Linked DNA regions of Lepisosteus oculatus. The protein of the gene in region 1 binds, or shares a complex with, the protein of each later gene. Links are inferred from orthologs where the notes say so. Each region holds a gene or a part of one and is shown in the gene's direction. Other genes may lie near its edges.

Region 1 (3,911 bases):
TAATTGAAGGTCAACAGATTTAAAAACATTCTGGACACAGACCTGTAAAATACATTAACAACAGTGTGAATTGAAAAAACGTTGTTTTTTTCTATGAAAACACTCTGTTGCTATGCTGCTACCTCAGTAAGTTAGTTTTAGCTGATGAATGTCAGAATCTTGTGTATGTGTGCACGCATATAGCCGTGTATCTATACTTGTGTTTGACATGAATTAGTCAAAAGAATGAACTAGTCCTCCTGTGCTTTAAAGAGACGTTTAAGGGGTTAAGTCAATTGCAAATCTAACAGAGTTGTCTCAAGGAGTGTGAGAGCCACCTGTTGATGCTCTTGTTCTGATCGTGCTGCTCTTGCATCTCCGGCAGAGACTTCGGGAGGGTGTTGTCCGGGACCTGGAGCGGCAGGCCAGGAAAAGGGAGAACCTGCGGCAACTGGAAGAGCAGATCAGTCTGACCAGGGAGCTGGAGAAGGAGCGGGAGAGGAGAGCAGCAGGCGCTCAGGGCTCCTAGACTGGCAGGCCACCCTGAGAGAGGCTCAGACATCGCCAACAGCTTATGTGAGTCAGGCTGGTCCGCTGACTGTGGGTGTTCTGGCCTGTGTGGCCGATGCTGAATGACTCTGTCCTCCAAGCCAGGTGTGTGTACCTGAACGTGGTTGATGGGCTCTAGGCCAGAAGTGTCTTCAAGTTTTAGTTCCAGTCAAGGTCTCAGTTACTTACTTGAAATTGTTTGAAATTTTCAGCAGATAAACATAATTTCAAAATGTGGTGCTTAAGCAAGCGATCTGTTCAATCCCAGGCTCAATCATTTAACTGAGGGTTGAGCTGGAATACTTAGTAAGTTTCCTTGAGGGTGTGGGAGTCTGCTTTACATGGGACGTGTAAGAAAATTTCATGATGTGTACAGGCCATTCAGCTCATCAGAACTACAAAAGGCCTTGCTCCTTGAGAGACCTTGTTGCAACACTGGTCTGGATAAAATCCTATTATTACTGATTCTCTCTCTTCCTCTGTAGTATCAGCGCAGGACCTGCTTTGCCAGTTGCATCTTGTTTCCTGAATGTATCTGTTGGAGTGAAACTGTCCCCTGTCCCGCAGGGTTGTGGGGCTCTGCAGGCAGCCGGCCCAGAGCGCCCCTGTCAAGCGAGTACGTGCCAGCGATGGACGGGGGATCTGGCGAGATGAGGGGCCTGTCCAGCCAGCGGATGGACGACGAGGCCACGCGCACCTCGGCCTCGGAGGGGCTGGAGGAGGGGGAGGTGGAGGGGGAGACGCTGCTGATCGTGGAGTCAGAGGACCAGGCCTCTGTGGACCTCTCCCATGACCACAGCGGGGATTCCCTCAACAGCGACCTCGGCGACGAGCCCGACTCCAGCTGGACGGAGGAGATGTCCTTCTACTGTGATAAGTGTCACAAGTGGATCCCAGCCGGTGAGACGCACCTGCAGCTCACTGCCAGCTTCCGAATCTGTAATGGTGACTGTGGGCTTAAAGCTTTTTTCCTTTTTAAACTACAGTCTAATACTGGCTCTTGTAAAGAAGGGAAGGGTTATCTCTGCAGCCGGGAAGCTCTCCCCAGTGCACTCAATTCCCTCTTGGCCAAACTCCCTCTCTGACTCAGCCAGCCGGATGACGGACTCTGACAGATGTCAGCTACACCTCTGTGGCTCTCCTTGTCCTTTCTATTCCTCCCTGCTCTACTGCCACTCCATTGCTCTAGTCACTCTGTTGGCTCCTTATTAACACACACATCCCCCTCGAAGCCCTTGTTCTTGCACACTGATTACTCAGCGCCTCTGCTCTTGCTGGTCTTCAGTCCCTTATCTCTCAGCCTTCTCCACCCCATCTCTGCTCCTCCTCTTCATTCCCTCACGTCTAGAGTCTGTTCATTCTCCACCCTCACCCCTCAAAGTGGAGTGGACCTCCCCCAGAAATTAAAACTGCTCACTCGGTCCCTGACCACCTTTCGGCACCTGCTCAAGACTGGCCTGTGTAGACAGCTCCTGGGATCTGAGCTCTCATCTGCATCCTTCAGTAACCCTCATGTTGCAATAAAATTGCTAATTCATAGACTGGTAAAGGGGCTTGCTAAGTTAAGTTCCTCACAGTAAAGAAGGCATACAGACTTACAGGGTGTTGACATCACAGCTCCATATTCACACTGTCTGAACTCTGACTATTCTTGGGAGGGCGTTGACCTTAGAGTAATTCAATTCAATTTATTTTTATATAGCGCCTTTTACAACAAGGTTGCCCAAGGTTGCCCCAAGTAAAGTAAAATCCTATTTTTCTGTGCTGATTCTGAACATTAGCTTCCTTGTTCAACATCCAGGTCAGCTGCGAGGAGACCAGCCCAGCTACCTGAAAGGCGACAACTTCTTTAAGTTCACCTGCTGTGAGTGCTCAGAGGATGACAAGGAGCACTTTGAGAGGATGAGGCTCACCTGGCAGCAGGTATGAACCAGGGATATTCTCTCTGGGCCACCCCTGACTGCTCAAGGGTCTCCAGGCTCCAAATCATCTGATTGAGTCCAGTTTAAAGGTCTTATTTCAGCTCTCCAGAAAAATAATTACTCATGCTGACATTTACGATTTTGGGCCATATAATACTATGACGTTATTAACACTGTTGACACCTGTTGATGTTTGAAGTGGTCATGACTTCCTGTCCTCCAGGTGGTCATGCTGGCCATGTACAACCTCTCGCTGGAGGGCACCGGCCGACAGGGCTACTTCCGGTGGAAGGAGGACATCTGTGCCTTTATCGGGAGACACTGGACCTTCCTTCTGGGATCCAGGTAGGGCACTGGGGTAATTGCTAGCACTGGCAATTGGAAACAGAGAGAACGGACGACAGCGGTGTGTGTGGCTGATCTGCTCCCTCTGACTCTACCGTGCAGGAAGAAGACATCCACATGGTGGAGCACAGTGGCGGGGTGTTTGTCGGTGGGGAGCCCCATGTTCTTCCGTTCTGGAGCCCAGGAGTTTGGGGAGCCAGGCTGGTGGAAGCTGGTACACAACCGACCACCCACCCTGAGGCCCGAGGGGGACAAGACCTCCGTCTCCTTGCTGAAGACAAAAGGTGAAACGCTGCTCTCTCCTCTGGTTCTGAGCTGAGGCATGTGCCTGGAGCACAGGAGTAAAACAATCCAAAGGAATGCTGTTCCAGCATCTCATATTTCTGTCTGGATAGAGGTCATATGGCCTTGCTGATCAACTGTTCTTGGAAAATGGCTTCTCAAAGCTTAATGCCAGCAGTCAATCAAGGGAGACAAAGGACTTTTTCACCCTGACATGATGGGCTTCCCAAACATCAGCAAGGTTACAAACACCTGCAAGAGTCTTGGTCCAGCTTTTTCTTGCAGGCCTGCCTGGGGAAAGCTTCAGCAGTAAATCTGTTTTGCCTGTACTGCTGAACTTGTGCATGGAGAAGTTCTCATTCTAGTCAGTGCTCAGTTCCTGCTCCCCTTGTGTCTGTGGGGAGGGGGGAGGAGGCCGTTTTCCTCATCTGACTGTGGTGTGTTTTGCCCCCTCAGCCCCCTCCAAGCCCCCGCTGGACCCCATCATCACGGTGGAGGGCCTGAGGAAGCGCGGGGGGCGCAACCCGGTGGAGAGCGCCATGCAGCTGAAGGAGAAGCGTTCGCGCACCCAGGAGGCGAAGGACATCCGTCGGGCCCAGAAGGAGGCGGCCGGCTTCCTGGACCGCAGCGCCTCCTCCACGCCCGTCAAGTTCGGCAGCCGGGGTCGGCGGCCGGAACTGGTGCTGGAGAAGGGGGAGGTGATCGATTTCTCCTCCCTCAGCTCCTCGGACCGCACACCGCTCACCAGCCCCTCCCCGTCCCCCTCGCCTGACTTCTCCGCCCCCGGCACTCCGGCCTCCCACTCCGCCACCCCCAGCCTGCTGTCCGAGGCTG
Region 2 (3,911 bases), on another chromosome or scaffold:
TGTAATTAGAATAAAATGATAACATAAATCAATGTTGCCTGATAAGGCAATAGGTTACTTAACATAAAATCTTTCTGTAAAGACTGTTGAGTAATTAAATCAAAGCCCAGCTCTAGAAACATATGGCCTGGTAATGGGATTTACTGAAACTAAATCCCACAACACAGTGAAAGATCTAAGTGACACAAACACAAATCTTCTGTATATGTAGCCATTTTATCTGCAACAATCAAGCAGGACACCTGGTAAATCTTACTCTGTAACTTCACTTGCCAATGGAAAATCAACCAGAAATGTGTCTATCCTAAAGATAAAGCCCATGTGTACTTTTTCTGGCAAATGGTGAAGAAAACTTTGGAAAAAAAGAAACATGACACCTATCAAAAGCACACCAGCAGCTTTTATAGAAACAGCTTTAGATAGATAGATAATACTTTATTAATCCCGTAGGGAAATTGATGTGTTACAGCAGTCCAGCCCAAGACAAGCAAAACAGACATCAGAATAGTTATAAAACAAAAGACAAACAAGATAAATAAAAATAAATAAATACATAGGTGTGTGCAAAATGTGCTGATCATAGTCACTGTAAAAACAATAAAAAGACTAAGACTAAAGACTTTAGACTAAGTTGTATAAATATAAATTTAATATTATATTTAAAAATAAAACTGAGGTTCTTGGAATAGAATATTCTATATATAATCCATCTATAGAATCACAGTGGTGTAGTTCAGTGCTGTTTATATGAACACTAACCTATCCTCATCTTTAACTTAACTATCATTCTACAGAGTATACATTTATAGTAAATTATTAAACTTTTTGCTATATTCAAAACTTTTTTAAAGATAAAAGGCTGCTGACTGTGCATCGCCCAGGTGGCGGATAACGTGAGATCCTTTTAGATAACAAACGTTATATAACCGCGAGGAATTATTATTATCCTGTGTCGCTAAAGCTCATGGCAGCCAGAAAGCGATCGAAGTAGATGTTGGGGGCGGCGCAGAGTACAGGTCTGTGAATCGGGAACACCGCTGTTGCACCTTCAAAGGAGGTTACTTCACCGCAGCGACTCCTACCCACCCAGCTGAGCAAACGAGTCCAGCATTTCCGTGGGTTAACCTGCAATGAAGTAGCAACCTGTAAGGGGGTAATTTCAGTCCTTTTACTGTTGCCGAACTCAGGATAAGATCAGGCTTGATAAGCCTCTAGGCTACGCTATGGACGTTATTCTCACGCAGAGTTAAAAATGCATTTGTTTGTCTATGCGTATACTGCAGGTCAGCCGACTTCAAGGGAGCTCCACGCTGGGCAATTTCAGACCCAGCCACAGAGCATCCCTCTGGCTCGAACTCCCCCTATTGGTCGCTGTGTGGCAACATTCCGTGACGTCGCCGGATGCGGAAAAACGTCACCCGTTGCAATATGGGATAGCTTCCGGAATCGATTAGAAACCCTGCTGCTTCAACGCCTGGTGCTGTGGACCGAGCACCGAAATGAATTAACAAAAGTATTATGTTATTCTCGGAGCTGGTGTTATAAGCCTTATTGTTTATAACATTAGAGAGAGAGAAAAACAGTCCCTTCGAAACTGTGGAATTACAATGCAGCGGAAGCCAGTCTAAAGAGTTTAGGATCATGTGTAAATTAAATAGCAGCTGAGGCGATAGGAAATCTGCTTGGAGACCGGCTGATTTGATCCTGTTGGTTTCTCCTACGCTTTTTTTCTGGTGGATGAAAAATCCAATAGGTCGCTTTGACAGCGTTAGACACTGTGCAGGGTGCAGCGCCATTGATGTAAAAGCAGGGATTTGGGGTGTACTTAGGAGTTTGGCGGAGAAGCTGTAGGTTGGTGCAGTTGAGACTCCGTTCGGGCCGCCGTGGAGTCGAATCGCAGCTGAGGTTCAGTGTTTCGGGAAAAGGACGGCAGGACAGAATGGCTTCTTCGTCTGGGAACGACGACGATCTCACTATACCCCGGGCAGCTATTAATAAAATGATTAAAGAAACTCTTCCTAACGTGCGGGTGGCGAACGACGCCAGGGAGCTGGTGGTGAATTGTTGCACTGAGTTCATCCACCTCATTTCGTCGGAAGCTAACGAGATCTGTAACAAGTCGGAAAAGAAAACGATCTCTCCTGAGCATGTAATACACGGTAAGAGTCGTTACCGATGCCTATTATTCAGTCTCTTTTGGGGGGGCGAACTGTTTTGCTCGCAGATTTGTGCGGCTAAATCGTTTGCTAATGGGTCTCGTTTTTAACCTCCCCCTTAAAACCACTCCCACTCGCTGACTTTGACAGCGAGGCTTCACACACTGTTGTTGTATTGTGTGGCTTGCTTGTTAAAGGGACAAGAAACAATTATGGCAACGCGTTCTACGGTTTGGGTACAGCCGAACCCTCTGATGTACATATTCCTTCACCTCCTGGATTTATTTAAATGTAACGCAGACAGACCAACCCTGCTGCGAAGCTTTGTCATGATCCTTACAATTCTGTACATGATGGGAGCAAAGTGCTTCCTGAGAGAAATGACAGGAATCCTGATGCTTAGTGTCATGAATTACAGCAGAGGTGCCGGAGGTACTGTGTGCTTTAAACCTGGAACAGTGACTTTCGTGGGTGTCTTAAAACAGGACTGTCTGTTTTGTCTAGCGCTCGAGAGCCTGGGCTTTGCCTCCTACATCACCGAAGTAAAAGATGTGTTGCAAGAGTGCAAAACAGTCGCGCTCAAGAGGAGGAAGGCAAGCTCCCGCCTGGAAAACCTCGGCATTCCTGAGGAGGAGCTCCTTCGGCAGCAGCAGGAGCTGTTCGCCAAGGTAAAGCCGCCAAACTCGCATTCCGTCTCCTCACCTTGTCACTGCAACGCTGGGGGGGTCTGCTACTCTGCCCCAGTGGTGCAAGTGGGAGTCTGCTCTTCCTGGATCATGCGTGCAGTAGTGCTCTGTGCTGTTTGAGGACATAAGGATACAAATGACAGGAGGCCACACCCAAGATGCTTTAGCTCATCCTGGTTGGCGTAGAATGATGCAGACAAGAGCCCCACGGCTCCATCCTGGTTTACCCTGGTGGAGCAGAGCTGGTTACAGTACCTCACTGGGGGTACACCAGCGCTCTGCAGTGGGGACTTGTACCCATAGCCTGCCAGTCAAGAGTCCAAAGGCTCACCCTCTACTCGACACCGCCTTGACCTTCGATCGGGTGTTTCATTTTCTGTGGATGTGCTGCCTTCATAGTCAGAACGCTCTTTAGCCCGCCTCAGCAGAGGAGCAGTCCTCACGCTTACTGAAGTGAGGAATGGGAAGCTTTCGGTGTGGTCCACATCCTCTTTGTCCTGCTGGTGCCGTGACGTTAAAGTACCAGCCCCGTCCAAACCTCGATCTCGTTGAATGTGTGGAAGGGCTAACAGAGCAGTGTACGGTACAGGGTGGCCTCTCCCGTCGGCTGCGTGCCCCAGCCCCTGTAGGGCCAAGACTGGTTTAGATTGCAGGTGAAGGTGAAGCCACAGGAAGTCCACAACAGGAAGATGGGAGCTCCAGCGGAGCCCTAGCAGCTTGAGCCAACGCTGCGGGCTGTGAGGCTGTGGGCTAGAGTGTCTGAACGCCAGTGGAGCTGGCGAGGTGTGCGCTGCAGGAGTGTCTGAACGCCGGTGGAGCTGGCGGGGTGTGCGCTGCAGGAGTGTCTGAACGCCGGTGGAGCTGGCGAGGTGTGCGCTGCAGGAGTGTCTGAACGCCGGTGGAGCTGGCGAGGTGTCCGCTGCAGGAGTGTCTGAACGCCGGTGGAGCTGGCGAGGTGTGCGCTGCAGGAGTGTCTGAACGCCGGTGGAGCTGGCGAGGTGTGCGCTGCAGGAGTGTCTGAACGCCGGTGGAGCTGGCGAGGTGTGCGCTGCAGTAGTGTCTGGACGCC

The links.
Region 2: kat14 (region 1) and dr1 share a complex: the UniProt entries of both Homo sapiens proteins name them as parts of the ADA2A-containing complex. The link is inferred for Lepisosteus oculatus from reciprocal best matches to the Homo sapiens genes KAT14 and DR1.

The regions. Positions count from the first base shown.
Region 1 is NC_090712.1:562,089-565,999, forward strand, and holds the start of kat14 (cysteine-rich protein 2-binding protein), read left to right. Parts: upstream 1-1,157; coding exon 1,158-1,428; intron 1,429-2,329; coding exon 2,330-2,451; intron 2,452-2,673; coding exon 2,674-2,795; intron 2,796-2,897; coding exon 2,898-3,079; intron 3,080-3,533; coding exon 3,534-3,911. Other genes in the region: protein PET117 homolog, mitochondrial, read left to right, coding at 365-508. UniProt on the Homo sapiens protein: Component of the ATAC complex, a complex with histone acetyltransferase activity on histones H3 and H4. May function as a scaffold for the ATAC complex to promote ATAC complex stability. Has also weak histone acetyltransferase activity toward histone H4.
Region 2 is NC_090704.1:1,932,264-1,936,174, forward strand, and holds the start of dr1 (protein Dr1), read left to right. Parts: upstream 1-1,409; 5' UTR 1,410-1,939; coding exon 1,940-2,159; intron 2,160-2,660; coding exon 2,661-2,824; intron 2,825-3,911. UniProt on the Homo sapiens protein: The association of the DR1/DRAP1 heterodimer with TBP results in a functional repression of both activated and basal transcription of class II genes.